Linked DNA regions of Danio rerio. Each later gene encodes a partner of the first gene's protein in a complex. Links are inferred from orthologs where the notes say so. Each region holds a gene or a part of one and is shown in the gene's direction. Other genes may lie near its edges. The genes, in order: rnaseh2a, rnaseh2b and rnaseh2c.

The links.
Region 2: the proteins of rnaseh2a (region 1) and rnaseh2b are in contact, whole or in part, in a crystal structure (PDB 3PUF), measured with the Homo sapiens proteins. The link is inferred for Danio rerio from reciprocal best matches to the Homo sapiens genes RNASEH2A and RNASEH2B. Residues at the interface, in NP_006388.2 of Homo sapiens: Val227, Phe228, Ile253, Trp254, Glu255, Ser284, His285, Tyr287, Phe288, Arg291, Gly292, Leu293, Glu294, Ser295, Ala296, Thr297, Ser298, Leu299; in NP_078846.2 of Homo sapiens: His16, Phe18, Lys39, Asn42, Gly48, Ala49, Ile50, Val63, Lys64, Val65, Phe66, Lys67, His70, Phe74, Val79, His86, Phe87, Val183, Tyr211, Gly214, Leu215, Asp218, Tyr219.
Region 3: the proteins of rnaseh2a (region 1) and rnaseh2c are in contact, whole or in part, in a crystal structure (PDB 3PUF), measured with the Homo sapiens proteins. The link is inferred for Danio rerio from reciprocal best matches to the Homo sapiens genes RNASEH2A and RNASEH2C. Residues at the interface, in NP_006388.2 of Homo sapiens: Thr11, Asn99, Ser102, Thr103, Leu106, Gly107, Arg108, Val109, Val196, Glu197, Lys198, Leu199, Glu225, Pro226, Val227, Phe228, Gly229, Phe230, Pro231, Gln232, Phe236, Leu245, Ala249, Glu250, Asp251, Val252, Ile253, Trp254, Glu255, Asp256; in NP_115569.2 of Homo sapiens: Pro33, Cys34, Glu35, Val36, Ala37, Val38, Ala42, Pro43, Val44, Gly45, Arg46, Phe47, Phe48, Pro50, Ala51, Arg53, Ser62, Phe63, Arg64, Gly65, Arg66, Cys67, Leu68, Leu134, Glu135, Thr136, Lys143, Gly146, Ala147, Thr149.

Annotation. Positions count from the first base shown.
Region 1 is NC_133176.1:55,039,596-55,045,848, reverse strand, and holds the start of rnaseh2a (ribonuclease H2 subunit A), read left to right. Parts: upstream 1-2,281; 5' UTR 2,282-2,326; intron 2,327-3,637; 5' UTR 3,638-3,639; coding exon of another isoform or gene 3,640-3,766; intron 3,767-3,845; coding exon of another isoform or gene 3,846-3,917; 5' UTR 3,918-3,944; intron 3,945-4,206; 5' UTR 4,207-4,372; coding exon of another isoform or gene 4,373-4,473; coding exon 4,474-4,499; intron 4,500-4,682; exon of another isoform or gene 4,683-5,040; intron 5,041-5,513; exon of another isoform or gene 5,514-6,197; coding exon 6,198-6,253. UniProt on the Homo sapiens protein: Catalytic subunit of RNase HII, an endonuclease that specifically degrades the RNA of RNA:DNA hybrids. Participates in DNA replication, possibly by mediating the removal of lagging-strand Okazaki fragment RNA primers during DNA replication.
Region 2 is NC_133184.1:31,342,830-31,349,286, forward strand, and holds the start of rnaseh2b (ribonuclease H2 subunit B), read left to right. Parts: upstream 1-2,153; 5' UTR 2,154-2,278; intron 2,279-3,069; 5' UTR 3,070-3,141; intron 3,142-3,252; 5' UTR 3,253-3,360; intron 3,361-6,457. UniProt on the Homo sapiens protein: Non catalytic subunit of RNase H2, an endonuclease that specifically degrades the RNA of RNA:DNA hybrids. Participates in DNA replication, possibly by mediating the removal of lagging-strand Okazaki fragment RNA primers during DNA replication.
Region 3 is NC_133189.1:40,010,846-40,017,109, reverse strand, and holds the start of rnaseh2c (ribonuclease H2 subunit C), read left to right. Parts: upstream 1-2,768; 5' UTR 2,769-3,055; coding exon 3,056-3,058; intron 3,059-6,227; coding exon 6,228-6,264.

The DNA of each region.
Region 1 (6,253 bases):
CAATAGCCTTGCAGCAGACCACACACTGCAGGTCACATGACGCAGTCAGTTGTTCTGAACAATGGGCTACTAAGAAACTAATTCAAGAAGGGCTTCAGAGCGGTCTTTCACCCAAATCACCGACTAAAGACAGTACTAATGTGCATTTATCCATTTCTAAGCTTAAAATAAAGACTTTAACAGCGTTTTATGTGGTGAACTCATCCCAGAGGTCGCCTAAACGCTTACTTGTGGCCCTGCACTCTCTGATAACGCCTGACATTTCAGTATCTCTGCTAAAATCATATCAGACCCCAGCAAATGCACCAATGTGTCAACGACCCTCAGACTTTGCCCTGGAAATTATCAGTAAAAGACAAAAGGAAAAGGCCGAGACAAGTGTGCTAATGTAGGGCTTTACTATAAAAGTCTCGTTCAGCAATTATAATATCAAGTTTCTGGAAATGTGAGAGGAGAAGCAATGCATATGAAGAATGCATGATGCTTTTAGATATCAAAATGAGTAATATACACAATATCTGCGTTTAGCCTCGCGAGCTAAAGCAAGTTCAAGTGGGATGATGTTACATAAAAGTAGCATAATGCGAATCATATAACGTATACTACTTAAAGTGAACGCATGCATGATATATAATAATAATAATATATGCATTAATATATTTCACTCCGTTATCAAGTGTAACTTAAATCCAACATATAAAAATGACGCCGGCGTTTCACACGCGCTCTTTTGTTCTGTAGTACTCAACAAAACTACTCATTAAGCATTTGTACATTTATATAAACGTTCAAAATGTGCAGATTAAAGTTAATATATCCGTATTTAAAACCTACCTGTTCTGTGTGGACGAGAAAGTTCTCTTTGCCTTGATGCACGCGCACAGGAAGTGGCAACCGCGCGACCTGCTCTAAAACCAGCGAGCAGCGGCTCTACGTAAGAAGAGGGGGGAGCGACGTGGTTCACGGCACCGCCCACTTTTTGGCTTAATTATTTTTTTCAAAAATAATTTTTTCTGCTCCTTACTTTGTAAAATATTAAACTAATAAAATACAAAGACATTTATTTTAGTATGTATATAATTTGTAAACAAAAAGGCTTTGAAGCTTTGAAAACCTTAAACCTAATATAAAAAAAATAATAATTATTATATTTTTAAATAAATTAAATGATCAAAATTCATTATTATTATTAGTATTGTAATTTATTTGTAATTGTGCTTTGCACTTTTATTTTCCTATATTTATTGTAAGCCTATGAAGGACGAAACCTGCAAAAACAATAAAAAATAAATAATAAATAGGGCGTCACAGTCAATTAAATTAATTAATTAATTAATCCACGAATTCATGCATGAATTAAACAATAAATAAATATGCATATATATATATATATATATATATATATATATATATATATATATATATATATATATATATATATATATATATATATATATATATATATTTGCGTATTTATTTGTTTATTGTTTTATTTATGCAGGGATTTGTGTATTTTTTTAGTCATTTAATTATTTATTTGCGTATTTATTTATTTATTGTTTCGTTTATACAGGTATTTGTGTATTTATTTATTCATATATTTATTTATTTGTGTATTTATTTATTGTTTCATTTATGCAGGATTTTGTGTATTTGCTTATTCATTTTTTTATTAATTTGCATATTTATTTATTTATAAGTTGTTTATTTATGCAGGAATTTGTGTATTCGTTCATTTATTTGCATGTTTCTTCATTCATTGTTTTTGTAGGTTTCGTCCTCCATAATTTCAAAGCAGGATTAAAATATATTTAAAAATTCACCACATTTTGCTTATAAATATATATTTGGTATGTTGTTTTTTGTTCTTGTCCATGGTGAAGTATAGTTCATTTATTATTTTTTTTTTAGTCAAGCTTCACCTCCACAACATAAACTAATAGCACAAAAATCAACCGAATTCTGCTTTTCAACACATACATACATACATACATACATACATACATACATACATACATACATACATACATACATACATACATACATACATACATATACGAAGTCGACAAAATAAAAAATATTTGAACTCCATTTCCCACAAGCCCTTGCGACGTTGAGTTGAGGAGGCATACAGTTAAACGCGTTCACTTCATGATTTTGAACATTACACGATTTTTGTGTGTGTGTTACAGAATGTCTTGCATTTATCAATGAATTAACAAATACGTTCGTTTCTTTTTAATATTGTCGGTCAAAGGTCACGCTGTACCGTCAGACTCGCGCCAATTCTGTAGTTCCGGTTGAAGCGCGCTGCACACACATTCAGGTTCGTCCAACTTGTTTATGCTTCTGTTTACAATCACTTTTACGATTAAGCTAATTGTTCTAGAATGTATTTGTGTACACTTCAAGTTAGCATTTAAGAGTAAAACCGCATGTACTCACTACTCATTGTTCGCACAATATTTGTATTATTTATGTATATAACGTTGTTCCAGAGATGGGTTGCAGCTGGACGGGCATCAGCTACGTTAAACATATACAAGATACGTTGGCGGTTCATTCCGCTGTGGTAACCCCAGATTAATAAAACGATCCAAGCCGAAAAGAAAATAAATGAATGAATGAATGAATGAATGTATATAACGTTATCTCTCAGTAATCAGATCATATATTGTTAACAGTCATCTATGATGTACTGTACTGTTTTATATTGTGTTTTAAATGAACGATATAAGTTCTAGATAAGTTTAAATGCTTAGAGAGTTTCTCTGTCAAACACTAGGTTACTTCATTCATTATAACTTTAGGATTTATACAAGTTCAAGAAAATAAATAATGGAAATACGACACGTAAGTTTAATGGTTAGCTTTAAGTTTATTTTAGCACTTTATTGAACCTCCTTCAAAATATTGTTCATATTTTATAATTTTAGAATATTGCTTTAATTTTCTTTCCTTTAAATATTATTTAAATAGCACTCTAAAAGGTGCCTTTCAAGATAAGCTTCATTGATTTTCTTCAACTTGGTCCCTTTATTCATCAAGGGTCACCACAGCGGAATAAACCGCCAACTTATCCAGCAGAATTATTAGCACCTTCCTTTTTAAGAAATGTCCCAAATTATGTTTAACAGAGCAAGGAAATTTTCACAGTATGTCTGATATTATTTTTTTCTTCTGGAGAAAGTCTTATTTGTTTTATTTCGGCTAGAATAAAAGCAGTTTTTAAAAAAAAAATTAAGTTCAAAATTATTAGCCTTCCTAAGCTATATTTTTTCGATAGTCTACAGAACAAACCATCGTTATACAATACCTTGCCTAATTACCCTAACCTGCCTAGTTAACCTAATTAACCTAGTTAAGCCTTTAAATGTCACTTTAAGCTGCATAGAAATGTCTTGAAAAATATCAAGTCAAATATTATTTACTTTTTGTCATCATCATGGCAAAGATAAAATAAATCAGTTAATAGAGATGAGTTATTAAAACTATTATGTTTAGAAATGTGTTAAAGAAATCTTTTCTCCGTTAAACAGAAATTAAGGAAAAAAATAAACAGGAGGGCTAATAATTCTGTCTTCAACTGTATATACTGATCTAACATGTTTTAAAATGATATTCACTGTTTTATTAGTGATGGATCTGAGTGATTTTGAGGCGGACAACTCTGTGAGCTGCCGCTTGTCTTCATCTATCCCAGACTTGTGTAAGACAGAGGACTGCTGCCTGGGCATCGATGAGGCGGGCAGGGGACCCGTATTAGGTGAGAGTCATCTTCACTGGAAAAAAGCTCATATCCGATTGAAACTGGAGTGTGCATTAAATATGTTACTATTTTCCAGGACCCATGGTGTACGGCATATGCTTCTGCCCTGTATCCAGAAAAGAAGACCTAAAGAATTTAAAAGTGGCAGGTTGGTCTGAATTATTCAGCATGTTTTGTTACAGGGTGACATGGTGGCTCAGTGGTTAGCACCGTTACCTCACAGCAAGAAGGTCGCTGGTTTGAGTACCAGCTGTGCCAGTTGGCATTTCTGTGTGGAGTTTCCAAGTTCTCCCCGTGTTGGCGTAGGTTTCCTCCAGGAGCCTCCACAGTCCAAAGTCATGCGCTATAGGTGAATAGGGTAAACTAAATTTGCTTAAGTGTATGAGTGTGTGTGTGTGAATGAGTGTGCATGGGTGTTTTCCAGTACTGGGTTACAGCTGAAAGGGCATCCACTGTGTGAAACATATGCCGGAATAGTTGGTGATTCATTCCGCTGTGGCGACCCCTGATGAATAAAGAGACTAAGCCAAAGGAAAATGAATGAATGGATATTTTGTTAGAGAGCATGTGTGTAAATCTTCAGTATATTTGTTGTCTATTTAGACTCAAAGACGCTGACGGAGGCTGAGCGAGAGAACCTGTTTGTGAAGCTCGATGAGGCCAAAAGTTTCGTAGGCTGGGCCCTTCAGATCCTCTCGCCCAACATGATTTCCACCAGCATGCTACAAAGGTACCAGCATGCTAGATTTCAGTGAAGAGAAGGCTAGTGTGATGTTATGTCAGATTAAATCAGCACAAAACAAACATTTTTGGTGTACAAAACTGCTTGTCAAAGCATAGTTTCCACAACATTTCGCTCTGGTTGGTAAACTCCTTCAAACTACGACTAGTAAAGCAGGTTTTCAGTCCACTTGAAATCAAAATTTACTTTATTTACTAGCTCACATTGTTATTCCTAAAGTCTGCATGAATTGGAAGCTGCGGCTGTCTTTTTTTTCATATAGTGATGCAGTTCCTACAGAAACGGAATAATAAATGAGACAACAGTGGGCGTGGCTTGTTTTCTTTTTCTACTCATGGCTAATTGGATGTCTTAAAGTAGGCATTTCATTCAGAAAGAAAAGGAAAAGGGTTTTGGGAGAGTTATTACAGCCTAACAAACTCCTCCTGCTCACCATTTCTGTTTGTTGTCAAATCTGACAGCTGGAGGGGCGTGGTTAAGTATGTTAGTCAGGCCCAATACCTCAGACAGACTTAATGTGAGAATTCAACTGAAAACAAACAGGAAGTGCATTTTTAGATTTCAATTTTAGAAACAAACGCAAATAATTTTATTTTCTTATTGCTATGCACTGATAAATTGTTCAACACAGAACTAGCAATGCGAGTTAACAAAATCAACATGGTTAGTTTTGATGTGTACGTTAAGGTGAATAGATAATCTGTGCAAGTTAAGCCACTGAAAAAAATGATAAAATTCAATGCTGATTTGCTTTCGCTTTTGAGTGGCGGTTCTTCTGTTGACATCAACCTGGGGGCTCCCATAGCAACTGTACATGAATACCCTCTAATACGATATATAATGGTAATAATCAAAGAAATCCACATATGCAACGAAAACTAAACTAATTAGTTTACAAATTAAGTTAAGTGTAATAAAATGAAAGGACGCAGAGGAAAAGTATTGAACACACGAAGAAAGGAAGGTGTTGAAAAGCATGGAAAGCCCAGACAGCTGCTGAAATCTCTTTTTTTTCTCTAGTTTATTAGCAACCATCGTCAGTGTAAATGAATATTCGCTGCTTCAGTCCAACATCTACATTAGCAGATGATGAAGATGAAACCAGGGTGGACATTTCAGCAAAACAATGATCCAAAACACAGCCAAGGAGACTCGCAAATGCTTTCAGAGAAAGAAAATAAAACTGTGGAATGGCCTAGCCAATCACCTGACTTGAATCCAATAGAGAATACAAAATAAAGATCAAAATTAATAGACGAGACCCACAGAACCATCAATATTTTTATACTCTGTTGAAGTCTGTGAAAAACTCATGCCTGAGCAATTCATGTGACTTCATTCTCCATATGAGAGGCGTCTTTAAGCTGCCATCACCAACAAAAGCCTTTTATATAAAGTGTTAAATACGTTTTAATAGTTCAGTAATTTCTCCTTGTGTCATTCCATTGTTATTACACAAAATATTTCAGATTTTTTTTTTGTCTGTTTCTTTTTATGTTAACATTGTTCTGGTTTTTATCGTAATCTGGTTCAATTCCATGTCAAAAGCTCCTTTAGAAATGTTATTTCCAGGAAACAAACATGACATGTTCAGTACTTATTTTCCTCGCTGTATAGAATATAGAATAAAAAAAAATAGCTGCAAGTATATCTGACATCAAGGTTTTGTTGTTATTATTTTTTCAGAGCAAAATACAATCTGAATGCCCTTTCACACGATGCAGCGATTGGCCTGGTGCAGT
Region 2 (6,457 bases), on another chromosome or scaffold:
GAAGTGAGAGTTGAAGACAAAGGGAGTCATTAAATGTTAAGATGGGTCACATTCTAGCCAACAGCAGACAGATTGACAACAGTTATTAATAAGATCCTGAAAATAAAGAAAACGAAAACTGAATCTGTGTAAGCAACAATAAAGTGTCAACAGTTCACAAGTATGCTGAAATGCTTACACTAATTTATTGACCTTATGTAAACAATGTTTCTATTCCGACTATTTTCAGTAGCATCTGGTCTACATGTAGGCTACTTTATCTTACTCTTACTTTTTCTTGCCTATTTCCTGCAGGTTGTTTGATACTCGTGTACACTCACAGTCGAACAAATTAAGCCTTTTAGTGACCGAGATGAGAAGCGTTATGTATTTGAAGAATATTAAGAAGTGTAATATAGTGATGAGGTAAGACTTAATAAGCAGCGCTATATAAGGTGAAAGTAAAAACTATTCTGTCTGAGGGCGTCTCTTCGTCCATTTCCAAGATACTGGCGCCATCTTGAGGTAATTGACAGGAACATCAATTTTCTATAATATTTAGTTCTATATGAGTTTTGGGGTATTTTCAGATCTAATCTAGGAGTACAATATATCTCTGTCTCAGATTATATGGTCTAAATATATATTATATTGTATTAATTAATAACTGAATTGATTGTTAAAAACACATTTGGTCAAGGAAGAGAACTAAAATGTTGGGATAGTCCCTTGTTTATCTGTGAGAAACTTTAATTTTTTTCACCAGAAATAGAATAGCATTTAGGCTGTTTAAACCTTATCAATTGCAAATTTAAAGTTGATCCTTAACTTAAATCTAAACCTAAGTGATGAAACAATAAGATTGTAGCCTAGTTAATCCAGGTTTATTGTGAAATAAAGTCCAGGATCAAACATTTGGTATAATTGTAAACCACATGCCTCATATTTAGGCAACATAATTCTTAGATAAACTTTGATTTAATCCAGATTTTAGATTAATACTGCTGATGGATCACAACCTGACAATGTGAATAAAATGCTTTGTAAATAAATATTATCATACTGTGCAAGAGACACCTGTACCCTATGCACCACTGGCAAAACCTGACAAGATCCTGGGGCCGCTTGAAGTGCTGGAACTAAGCAGACACCTCAAGACTTGTCTCTGAGTTTTTTTAAACATCCTTCCTAATATTGTGTGTCTTCCCTCTCAGTGCACATGTAGGCTATGTGTGTACCAATAATACACACATTAGTTATTTAAGCTGTATAATAAATGTGTCATGTAAATGTTTACAGTAGGCTATATCACAACAAAAGAGAACAGCTTTGCATCTTGTTTTTTATGTTTGGGTAGAAGTTTATCACAAACGATTCTTTTTTAAATATTTGTAGCTGGTGGTGTTGCACAATTCCCCCAGACAACAAAAATAGGCCACAAAGAAAAATGTACTATAAACTATTTGTCATATAAATAAATACATGAAGAAGTCCACAGACATATTTATGCACGTAGATAACTGCAGCCTAATGAACCTGCTGTGAGTTTGATTTGTATCATAATAGGCCTGTCAATGCAATAAAATTAGGGTACTCACCAATCAGGTCTGAATAGCTTTTATAACTTCACTAATCTATAAATCCATGCTATAAATAGCTATAAATGTAGAAATTTTATTTATACAGTGAAGTCTATACAGTGTTGTTTTACATTAGATTAGGTCGTTCATTTTCAGTACTGATACTGAAATACTGTACACTAAACTCAACACCTTACCTTTTAATGGTTTAAATGGTAACAAGAACAACACTCTTTAACAATAATAATTTAACACAAAAAAGAAGAATCAGTTGATTAAAATGGAAGACCTGAAGGCTGCCTGGTGCTTTTAATGACCCGCTATGTCTTTAAGGAATACTGAGAGACCGTACCATTTGGAGAGAAGGGTGAACACGGTGCACTCGATATTTCTTTAGAGGTGCCATTCTCCACTCCCGTTCTTAAAAAACATAACATCTGATTTATTCGCAATATATTATTAAGGAATGTATAATATTGTGCAGCACTACCTAAACAAACCCTAGAATAAAACTTGAAGTCGAGTACTTACCCCTGCTTATGTGTAACTCAAAGATTTGCCGCCATTTTTCTGAAGGCACAACATTCACTCGTCGCATTTATACACAGCGGACAACTTGTTTTTACAGTTTAACTTTTAAAACTAGTTATTTGAAATGACTTCTAAAAAGAAACGGTCTGCACACACCGAGAGCGACAGTTGGGTTGTCATTGCTCCAGGTATCTAACATTTGCTACGTTTAACGTTAGTTACTCTGTGTTGCTGTTGCATGTTCACACATGTCCCTACATGCATTGTATACTAAACTTATATAACGTTACTGATGTTATAAACAGTCTTCAGTTCACATCCTAATACACTGAGGACTCGTTATGAAAATGTATTTATCTTTATGCTCTATGTTTAACCGTTAGTTACATTCAATATTTTAAATGTTTAAAAAATGAGCTTTTCCTGCTTACCAAGACTGCATTTGTTGAATACAGTAAAAATTGTGTAATGTTAATGCACTATAAAATAACTGTGCAAAAACAGTTTATCATTTAAATTAATAATTTATTCCAGTGATTTTAAAGATTAATTTTCAGCTTCATTACTCCAGTCTTCGGGTCCTTCAGAAATCACTCTAATAGTAATTATTAGTAGTAGTGCATATAGTGTATGTATAACGTTATTACGTTACCATTTACTACCTTTTAATTTTCTGAGAATTTCTCTCCTCTACTTAGCATAAGATATTTTGAAAATGTGCTCAATCGAACAACTTCTGGTCTCCATTGACCCCCATGGTATTTTAATTATACCATGTAACTGCAACCTTTTGTTTTGGCCACATTCTTCAAAATATGTTTTTGTTTTCAGAATTAGTTTTTTCGATAAGTAAATGACAACAAAATTTTCATTTATTTTGAGTAAACTATCCCTTTAACCACCAACATCTACATTAAGTTTAGTTATGAATTTTATTAATCCACTTATATTTTCCTTCTGTGACTTCCCTTTTTTTCAGATTCAGCACTAGACACTGGCAGGTCTGTCGACAGTGATCCTTCCTTCATCAAACTGAAGAATCCTTCTACAGGTGGCCTTTTGACTCAGTGCACTCATTTACTGCAACTGATGGTTTAGAGATGACGTGGATCAGCTATATGAACCTTAACTAACTGACAGTTCTGTCGTTGTCTGAGTTCAGGTAGTTCTTCGCTGTACCTGTTTGGCTGTGGAGATTTGAGTGTTTATGAAGTAAAAGCTTTTTCTGAAGACTTCCGGTCTTGGTTTATTGGACAGACAGTGCAAAGAGGTAAGCTCACACTACAGAGAGTGAATCGTCCATTAATAGGATAGTTCACACAAAAATAAAAATTCTGTCATAATTTATTCACAATCTATTTCAAACCTGTTTCAGTTTCTGATAGTAGGACTGCATGATATTGGAAATATTTTACATTGTAATATTTTTTTGTTCTGTGATATACAGTAAAAGTTAGAATTATTGGCTCACTGTTTATTTTTTCCCCAATTTCTGTTAAATGGAGAGATTTTTTTAACGCATTTCCAAACATAATAGTTTTAATAACTCATCTCTAATAACAGATTTTTAACTGATTTTTTTGCCATGATGACAAAAGATAGATATTTTTCAAGACACTTCTAAACAGTTTAAATTAACATTTTTAGGTTAACAAGGCAGGTTAGGGTAATTAGGCAAGTTAATGTATAACTATGGTTTGTTCTGTAGACCAGGGGTTCCCAAACTTTACAACCCGCGACCCCCAAAATAATGATGTCAGTGATTTGGTACCCCCATTTTTCAAGGTGGTTATACTTTAAAAATACACAACTATAGGCATAAAAAACATGAGCATATTGACAACATACAAATGCAACAGTCTAATAACCGTATAATGTTTTTTGTAGTCATTCATTAATTTAATTCAAACATAAAAAAATTAAAGGCTGATGGCTGATTTTTGTTTGTATGTTGTTGTTGTTGTGTCTTTAACATAACTATTAACTATCTTCTGTGGGTTATGAATAAAATATGGTAATTCTAATAGTTTACTCAAATGTATTTGAGTTTTGGAAATCACTAAGCGACCCCTTTTCATTGTCCCGCGACCCCTCAAGGGGTCCCGACCACCACTTTGAGAACCACTGCTGTAGACTATCGAAAAAAATTGCTTAAAGGGGCTAATAATGTTGACCTTAAAATAGTGTTTAAAAAAAAACTGCTTTTATTTTAGCCTAAATAAAACAAATAAGACTTTCTCCAGAAGAAAAAATATTATCAGACATACTGTGACAACCCCCTTGCTCTGTTAAACATCATTTGAGAAATATTTGAAAAAAAAAAAAAAATTCAGTGGGGGGTAATAATTCTGACTTCAACTGTACATTGCGATATGAATACAATTTCATGAGATGACTTGAATAGCTATTTGGAAATAATTTATAATTTTAGATTCTGTTGGGGAGTACATAATGTATAATAAACAATCTACAAGTTTAAATAAACTCAATAAAAAAGAAACAAATGAAAAAAATAGCCAGTTTTATTGTTTTCTGATGAGTCGAACTGTATTCAGGTATAAAGTAATTGAATAATAAATTGTAAAATAATACTGCATAGTCTTCGTTTTAAACAATTCAATAAAATGTATTGTTGTTAATTTGTCAAAGTTACAAATGGTAATTTGATTTATTTATTTAGAACAGAAAAATCATACATAAAACAATTCTTTAAACAAAAACACATTTCAACATGGTCAAAATGGAGCAGGATGAAGCACAAGCTTATTATTTTCCCACCCCATTACCACACACGTCATTCGTCTATTACTTCATCTTGTTTCTTCTTTTACTTATCTCTTCTTTTTACATGAGACATATGAGCTTTAAATGAAACATATTTTATCCTTTTGGCATCTTTGACATGATAATTGTTTAATTTCATTTGTACATTCACATTTTGTAACATACACTCAAAAATACAAAGTGTTGCAAACAGCCATGAATTGAAATAGCATCATACCTTTCTATTTTTTTCTTTTTCAATCACCTCTATTCATCATAATCTTCCTTTAATAATATATATTTATACAACTTTTCGAATTGATTATTATCCTGACATTGTTTGAGAATCTGTTCCAGACTGTTCCATAATTTCACACCACATACACACATACACCATTCTTTTAAAGGTTGTCCTTGTTTTCAACCTCTTAAAATGTTGTTCTTCTCTCAGATTATATCCCCCTTGTCTTAATTCAGAAAACTTTTGTATGCATTTCGGAAGTAATTTATTCCTAGCTTTAAACAGAAATTGTGCTGTTTTAACTTTAACCAAATCATTGAACTTAAGTATCTTTAATAAAAAAAAAAAAAGGATTTTTATGCTACAAATACCCCACATTTTTGATCAGTCTAATTCCTTTTGTACAATGCAGAAAAAGAATCGTAAATTAGATGTATATTAAATACAATAACTCATATGGCAACATAAGTGTGTTACAATACAATTACATTATATTTACATACAATTATAATACATACATTTATTTATTATCCAGGATAAATCTTGCTTCATACACTATTGCTACAGTTTTTACTGACATTAATATCACATTATTTATTTGAGATTTCCAACAATTACTTATGCCTGAATGCATTTAAAATTCTCATACAGTCAAAGGACTCGAAAACACATGAAATAATCAGTTATAATCCAGACTCAACATTGCACATACTCACTATGTGACTATTGCGAATGATCACATTGCGATATCGATGCTGAAACGATATATTGTGCATCACTTGTTTCTGCTGTTGAACACAAAATAAGATATTTTGAAGAATGTTGGAAGCCTGTAGCCACCGACCTGCATAGTACTATAACTTCACCCCAGGGCTGGGCGATTAATCGAAAAGTAATTGACATTTACAGCCTATAATTGGTAAATTTTTCAATTACTTTTCCTACCATGTGTGTAGTCACGTGACCCAGCTCTGTTTACACTTCTACGTCAAGCGCAGCCTTCACGTGATCGCACACCACTCACATGACTGATGGGGACCTCTCAGAAATATGTAACTACACGTCACGATGACATATAGCGCAGGCTCTGTGATCGGTCTGCTTGGTAGTGTTGTTTAGTGTGGGCTATGCAGAGAGGGCAAAAAAATAAAATAATCTTTTGTTAATCTTAATCGAGTTAAAATGTTCAATTAATCGAGATTTAGATTTTAGGCCAGGCCCTAGGGCTGTACGATTTGGGGAAAATATCCCCAAATAATATTTATATATTATTATAAATATATTATTATTATTATTATTATTATTATTCATTCATTCATTTTCTTGACGGCTTAGTCCCTTTATTAATCCGGGGTCGCCACAG
Region 3 (6,264 bases), on another chromosome or scaffold:
ATTATTATATCAACTTTATAATATAATACATTTTAAAATAAATGTATAATCTGAAAACTACCACCATTAACAACACATTTGAAATTACTGATTCAAGACAAACAACATTTTTGCCTGATTTTAAACAAAATAAACAATTTTACTTGCATTAAGAATACCTTTCAGATAAAAAAGTGATGTGTTCACGATTTCAAATGTTTGTCAGAAGGCATTGTTGATGGACACAGTATTCACGTTTTTCAAAATATAAATTCACTCTTAAAAGTGTGTGAGATTTGGCAAAGTTACTTTAGAGATCAATAATAAATATTTTCTAATTTTCTAATATTATTTATAGATACTTTACATTTCTATTTTTTTTCAACTTCAATTTTTACTTGCATAAAGAATCTCTTTCACATAAAAATGTGTTCATGGCTTCAAATGTTTGTCAAAAGGCATATACAGTATACAGTATTAATGTTTTGTTTTAACAAAATTCAATCCCAGAAGTGTGTGAGATATGGGGAAGTTACTTTTGAGATCACTAATGCTTAATAGATAATTTTGCACAAATATTTTCGGACATCTATAGATACTTGACATACGCCCTGTTCCAAAATGATCCAACACAAAACATTAAAAACAGGGGGAAAATGTGAATGAATGAAAAATAATTGTAGTTAATTATGCCTAAAAATTATGCTTTTTTTTCTCTTACAAAAATTTTTTTATAAGGGTTAATATATGTTGAGATGCATATTTTAAATAACAAGACAAAATATTAGATACCTAATGTGGTTATCAATGTGTGTTACATGGCTGCTGTCACCTAAAAGCATCGTCACTATAGGTGTTCGATAACCATCCTGGGAAATCTTTTTAATTTGTGCAATACGTTTAACTCCGAGCGTCAGCGCAACTGCAGTCCAGAATTCAGACCCTAAAACAAACAAAATATATTGTGCATGCAATCAGACATAGTAGATCAATTTTAACAGAGGACATAGATTATTACTATTATTATATATTAGATTAGATTAAACTTTATTGTCATTACACATGCAGTTTAGGTCTAACCAGGAGTGCAATAGCAGCAAGTGCAGGATATAGGAATAAAGTGCACAGAAAAACTATGGTGCTATTAACAGATGAATGTACTATGAATATTACATCAAGGTTATATTAACTATGAACAGAGATTTACAATAGATGAATATATGCACAGGCTGCTATTAATAATCAAAGGTATGCAGATGGATATGAACATAATTACAAATGTATATGTGCAGAGGATATGAACACAACGCTGAAACTATAGTGGGTTTGGGATTTAATATCACACACCAATTTCTTTCCATACTGCATTGGAGAAGCAGCCTTCAGTAAACAGCACAAGATCTCCATGACACTGCCATCGGCCAGGAATGTCTCTCCCTAGATCTTCACTCCATTCTTTCCCTTTAGAAAGCAGAAAGGACCGTGCAGCCTCTACAAGCTTCATATGGACTGACTTAACTTTGCTCTTCTTTGACAATTGAGCCTAAAAAAATGAATATATTTTATTTTGCAGTTCAGACGTTCAGTGATTTGGGTGCAAACATCAGTTTATGTTTACCTGGATATCAACAATTTCACAAAAGCTGTCCTGTGCGACATGTTCCTTTAGTGCCACCAGATCAAGCTGTGGCAAAGCAGATGCTACAACCGGAAGAGTTACAGTGCCATCGGAGTGTTTCTCTGCACCGTACCTACGGTCCAGAACACCTTGTGACTCTAAGTATTTTCTGAAAAGCAGTAAACACATTAATACAACAATAAGCTGTTAAAATAAACACAGACAATTGTAAAAATATATAGAGCACAGGAAGAAAGTTAGTTTTTTTTTTTTTTGGATTTTCCATTAAAAGGTGTGCGTTTTGAGTAAGTTTTCATTTTTGTTTTACTTTATGAAGGACATTCTACCAGAAATTTATATTTTCACTTAAAAAGGTAAGTTTTCACAATAAAAAAGGTGACAGGGCCGGATATAAGCTTGTCGTCTTCAAAAAATCATACAAAAACATCATACAATTCAATGACAGAACGTCATTAATAATGTTTATTTGTAGAATTTTTTCATAATATCATGTTTTTAATTAATCAATGTGAATGAAAACAACTTAAACGTGCTATATCCTATTTCTAAATAACAGTTTTAATCATAACAGAACTATTACAGCTGTACTGTAAAGAAAACAAATCTGAGAACCTAATGAATGACATATTCCTTTACAGAACAACTCAAAGAAATCCACCATCAGGCCATTCTAGTAATTTTGTGGGATGAAATACTTTTTATTCACTGTATATTTATGTTTTTATTTTCAGGGACTGGTGGTGTCCCATAAACTACTGATATTGTCTCTTCAGAATTTCAAATATCAATATTACCTTTTAAATATCGACATAAAGAGGCTTACAGAAAAATAACACATATCAAGTTTATTTCAAATATAAGTTGAATATTATAACGCAAGAACATGATACTAACATGTTGCTTACATAAACATGCAACGCAAAACAACAGTTTGCTGTCTGCCTACCTGTACATTTGTGCGTGACGCTGCGGCACTTTTAAACACGGAACTACATCCATTTTCCCTACAGATAGTGCAATCACTTATCTAACTGAACTAACATTATAGATGCTATCGAATAGTGAAGGCATGACCAAAACACGTTCGCCATAGAGAAATGTAGTTCCTAGTCCTTCCCAGTTCCTAGTGGGACTATAATGACTGTTGCACTTGCAGGGCGCCTGTAAACAATGAGCTGCGAACAAATATTTACCACGTTATTACATCATTGCTTGTGTATATGTCGCTCTTTGTTTTTATAAACGTCCGGTTAATAATATTTATGAAAAACCACTGTCATTATCAACTCTACACCTACTACGAAACGGTAGGTGGCAGAAGGCCATGGATTTTACCGCGAAAAGGAACAACGTGTTGACGAAGAAATGCATCGCGTCCAATCAAAGTAAACGCAGCTGACCCATGTGACACTTATAAACAGTGTTAAAACGACGAGCATGGTAAGATATCGCTGCTTTGTATTAATGTTGAAGGTTTTATTGCTCAAAATATCTTTTGAAAATTTTTCTTATCTTATAAACACGTGGTTTTGGATAATTATGGTCAAGGTCACCCTATAAAAAATGATGGCTTTATAATGAACTTACTTTGTAAGTTTCACATACACAAATCCAATTGTGCCAGAAGCAGCCTCTCTTCTCTGCTAGAAAAAAGACATTAATATGTGTGGAAAAGTGATTTATAAGTATAAAAATAATGTTTGTATACATGTATTTTCTGTTGTAGAAGTGCATTTAATAACTCCTGTTAATAACTACAATTGGAGAAATGATTGTATGTAATTTTATTATTACGTACCCTCTCCTTGGTTCCTTTATTGTAATTTAATGTCTTTACTCGTTTAATTCTTGTTAAAGAACGTGATTTTGTTGTATAATAAAACAAGCAAAAAAAAGAAAAGCTGGAAAAAAGGTGTTAAAAAAATGACAGGTTAATTATTAATTAAAATGTAATGCCCTCAGTTCACCGACAAGGTATGTACAGTAAATATGCTCACATATTACAAATAAGAGAGTTTTGAATGAAAGGTGAACATCATCGCTGAACAACTGAAATTGAAAACATACATTGCATAAAACCAAGAGTCACTTTTTCCTATAAAAGTGTAAGTAAATAACTTAATTTATTCTTTCATTTTCTTTTCGGCTTAGTCCCTTTATTATTCTGGGGTCACCACAGCGGAATAAACAGCCAACATATCCAGCATATGTTTTACGCAGCGGATGCCCTTCCAGCTGCAAAACATCACTGAGAAACACCCATACAATTTTAGCACACAGAAATGCCAACTGACCCAAACGAGGCTCGAACCAGCAACCTTCTTGCTGCGAGGCGACAGCACTACCTACTGCACCACCGCGTCTGCAATAAATAACTTTTAGAAACAAAATAAATGATTTAAAATGTTTTTCATATTAAAGTAGAAATTTAGCAGCATCTCTTCTAAATCAAATAACTGGAATATGTCGCGAATAACAGTTTAAACAGCACTATTCTTCAATCTTTTGTAAACAAATTTTTTAATGTAAATAATAATTTTATTGTAAAGGAGAATAAGCCATCTCAGGGCAAATCTGGCAAAGCTTCCAATCATTGTCAATGTAGTGCAAACGTGCAGTTACATTTTTTAAAGGTGCGCAGGTATTCGACTGCACGAAGGCTGCGCCAGACCATACCTGTGTACTCGACACAGTAGTATAAATCAGCCTTAACAGAGCGTGGTCACGAAACTCCACATGTGGTAAGAAAAGTAATTAAAAAAATTGACATGGATCAAGAATTTGATCCATTATAGATTCTGAATGTTGATTTCGATTGCCGTTTGATTAATTACAGAGCCCTAAAATGTATATATCACCGCATTTGTTCTAGATGAAAAACTTCTGTTGCCATAATATATTACACTTTTAACATTCTTGTTGTTGATATAAGTAGCTTTTTCAGAGTAGATTTTATTGTTTGAAACACAGTATCACTCTTTAAGTTTAACTTTATAATAGCTTTCAATAACTAAACTGTATATATTTATTTTAATACTTAATGATTGTTCACCTGGCCTTCGTGTCTTATTTTAGACTGCTCTCAGTAAAACATTTAGAGAAAAGGTTTGGATTTTGTTAGTCTTGGGACATTGTTAAAATGCAATCTGCCATTGAACAGCTTTGCATAGGCTTTTGTGTACATTAAGCACTAATGTCAAAGCCAAAATACAACAAATGTGTATATCAATTTATAGCACATATATTGAAACTTGAAATTGAGGTAAAGTAGGTTTTATTTCCGCACATTGGTTCAATGTCAACTTCTGACACGGTCCCTATTTTGTTTACCATGAGACTTTGAATATTCAGTTTAAAATCTCATGTAAGTGCAACTACAAAACAACATTAGCACTATTTTATGGACTGATGTTGTACTTTGATCGTGGGCTGCTAATATAATTTCACTATTTATAAATTGCAAAGGCTAATTTTCTGAAATTATTAAGGAGAAAGTCAGAATGTGCAGGGTTCAACGCTAAGGATTTTTTCTACTGGTCTGATCGGGCAAGTGGTTTAGATTTTTACTTGCCCTGCCAAAATTTCCACTGGCCCCACCAAAAAAAAGGGAAGTTAATAGCTATTTTTAACCACATATTTTAAACAATGTGTCAAAAATAAAGTCTGTAAATCTAGAATTTCAATACTTAAAAAACAATTGTAAATATAAGTGTTATGCAAACAAAAAGAGCAGTATGGAAAATGTGGAGGCATTTTATTGCAGTTTGAAATTATTAAAAAAAAAAAGGTGGCTGACATGTCAAAGTGATGGCAAACTATGCATAACATCACTTCATTATTATTTTGTCGTGTTGTTTCCATGTAAATGTCTACTTCCAACACGTTAGAGACAGACATTTTCGTTTAGCCTTTTAATTTGATGTTGCCGCTATGTTGCTGTTTCTACGCTGTATTGGTTGTTACCAGGTTACAAAAAAAAAATAGCATGGTCAAATCAATCCGATAAGACGAATCGGAAAGCAATATGTTGTTTACGACATTACAGAGAAGGTAGCATTTAAAGATTTAAAAGCACAAACTTAAAATGCATGCAATTGACAAATAGTCACAGACAAATTAAATATTAGTGACAAGGCAGCACTGTCCCAATCGGGCCATTAATGATCCGGTCTACTGTCCCAAGTGTCTCTCACGGCGGCCCTGGGCCACCGGGCAGTCCTTATTGTTTAGCCCTGATGTGTATTGACCATTTCAATGTAGTGATGTCATTGGCTCATGAATATTTCCTGCTGGTTTTCAGACTATTTCATCACTGTAACAAGAGGCAATTCAATCATACCTTAATGTAAAACAGCTATCATGACATTATCAATATGTGGCTCTTTTTGGATTCTCGAAGCTATAGAAATTAAAAATGTAAAGCAGGAAACAGGACCATTGTTTTTGTTTACATGCCTCAAAATGGTCTATAAAACCAACTTTACTTCAATTAACTTGAACCATTATAACAACAAAACATGTTCATAAGTGCACAAAGCCACATGTGGACTGCCTGGTATCACTCTCGCATAAAATACTTGAAATCCTAATAACAAGTTTGTTTTACTAGATGACGGCAAATAGTTGTGTGACATCCATCCGACGTG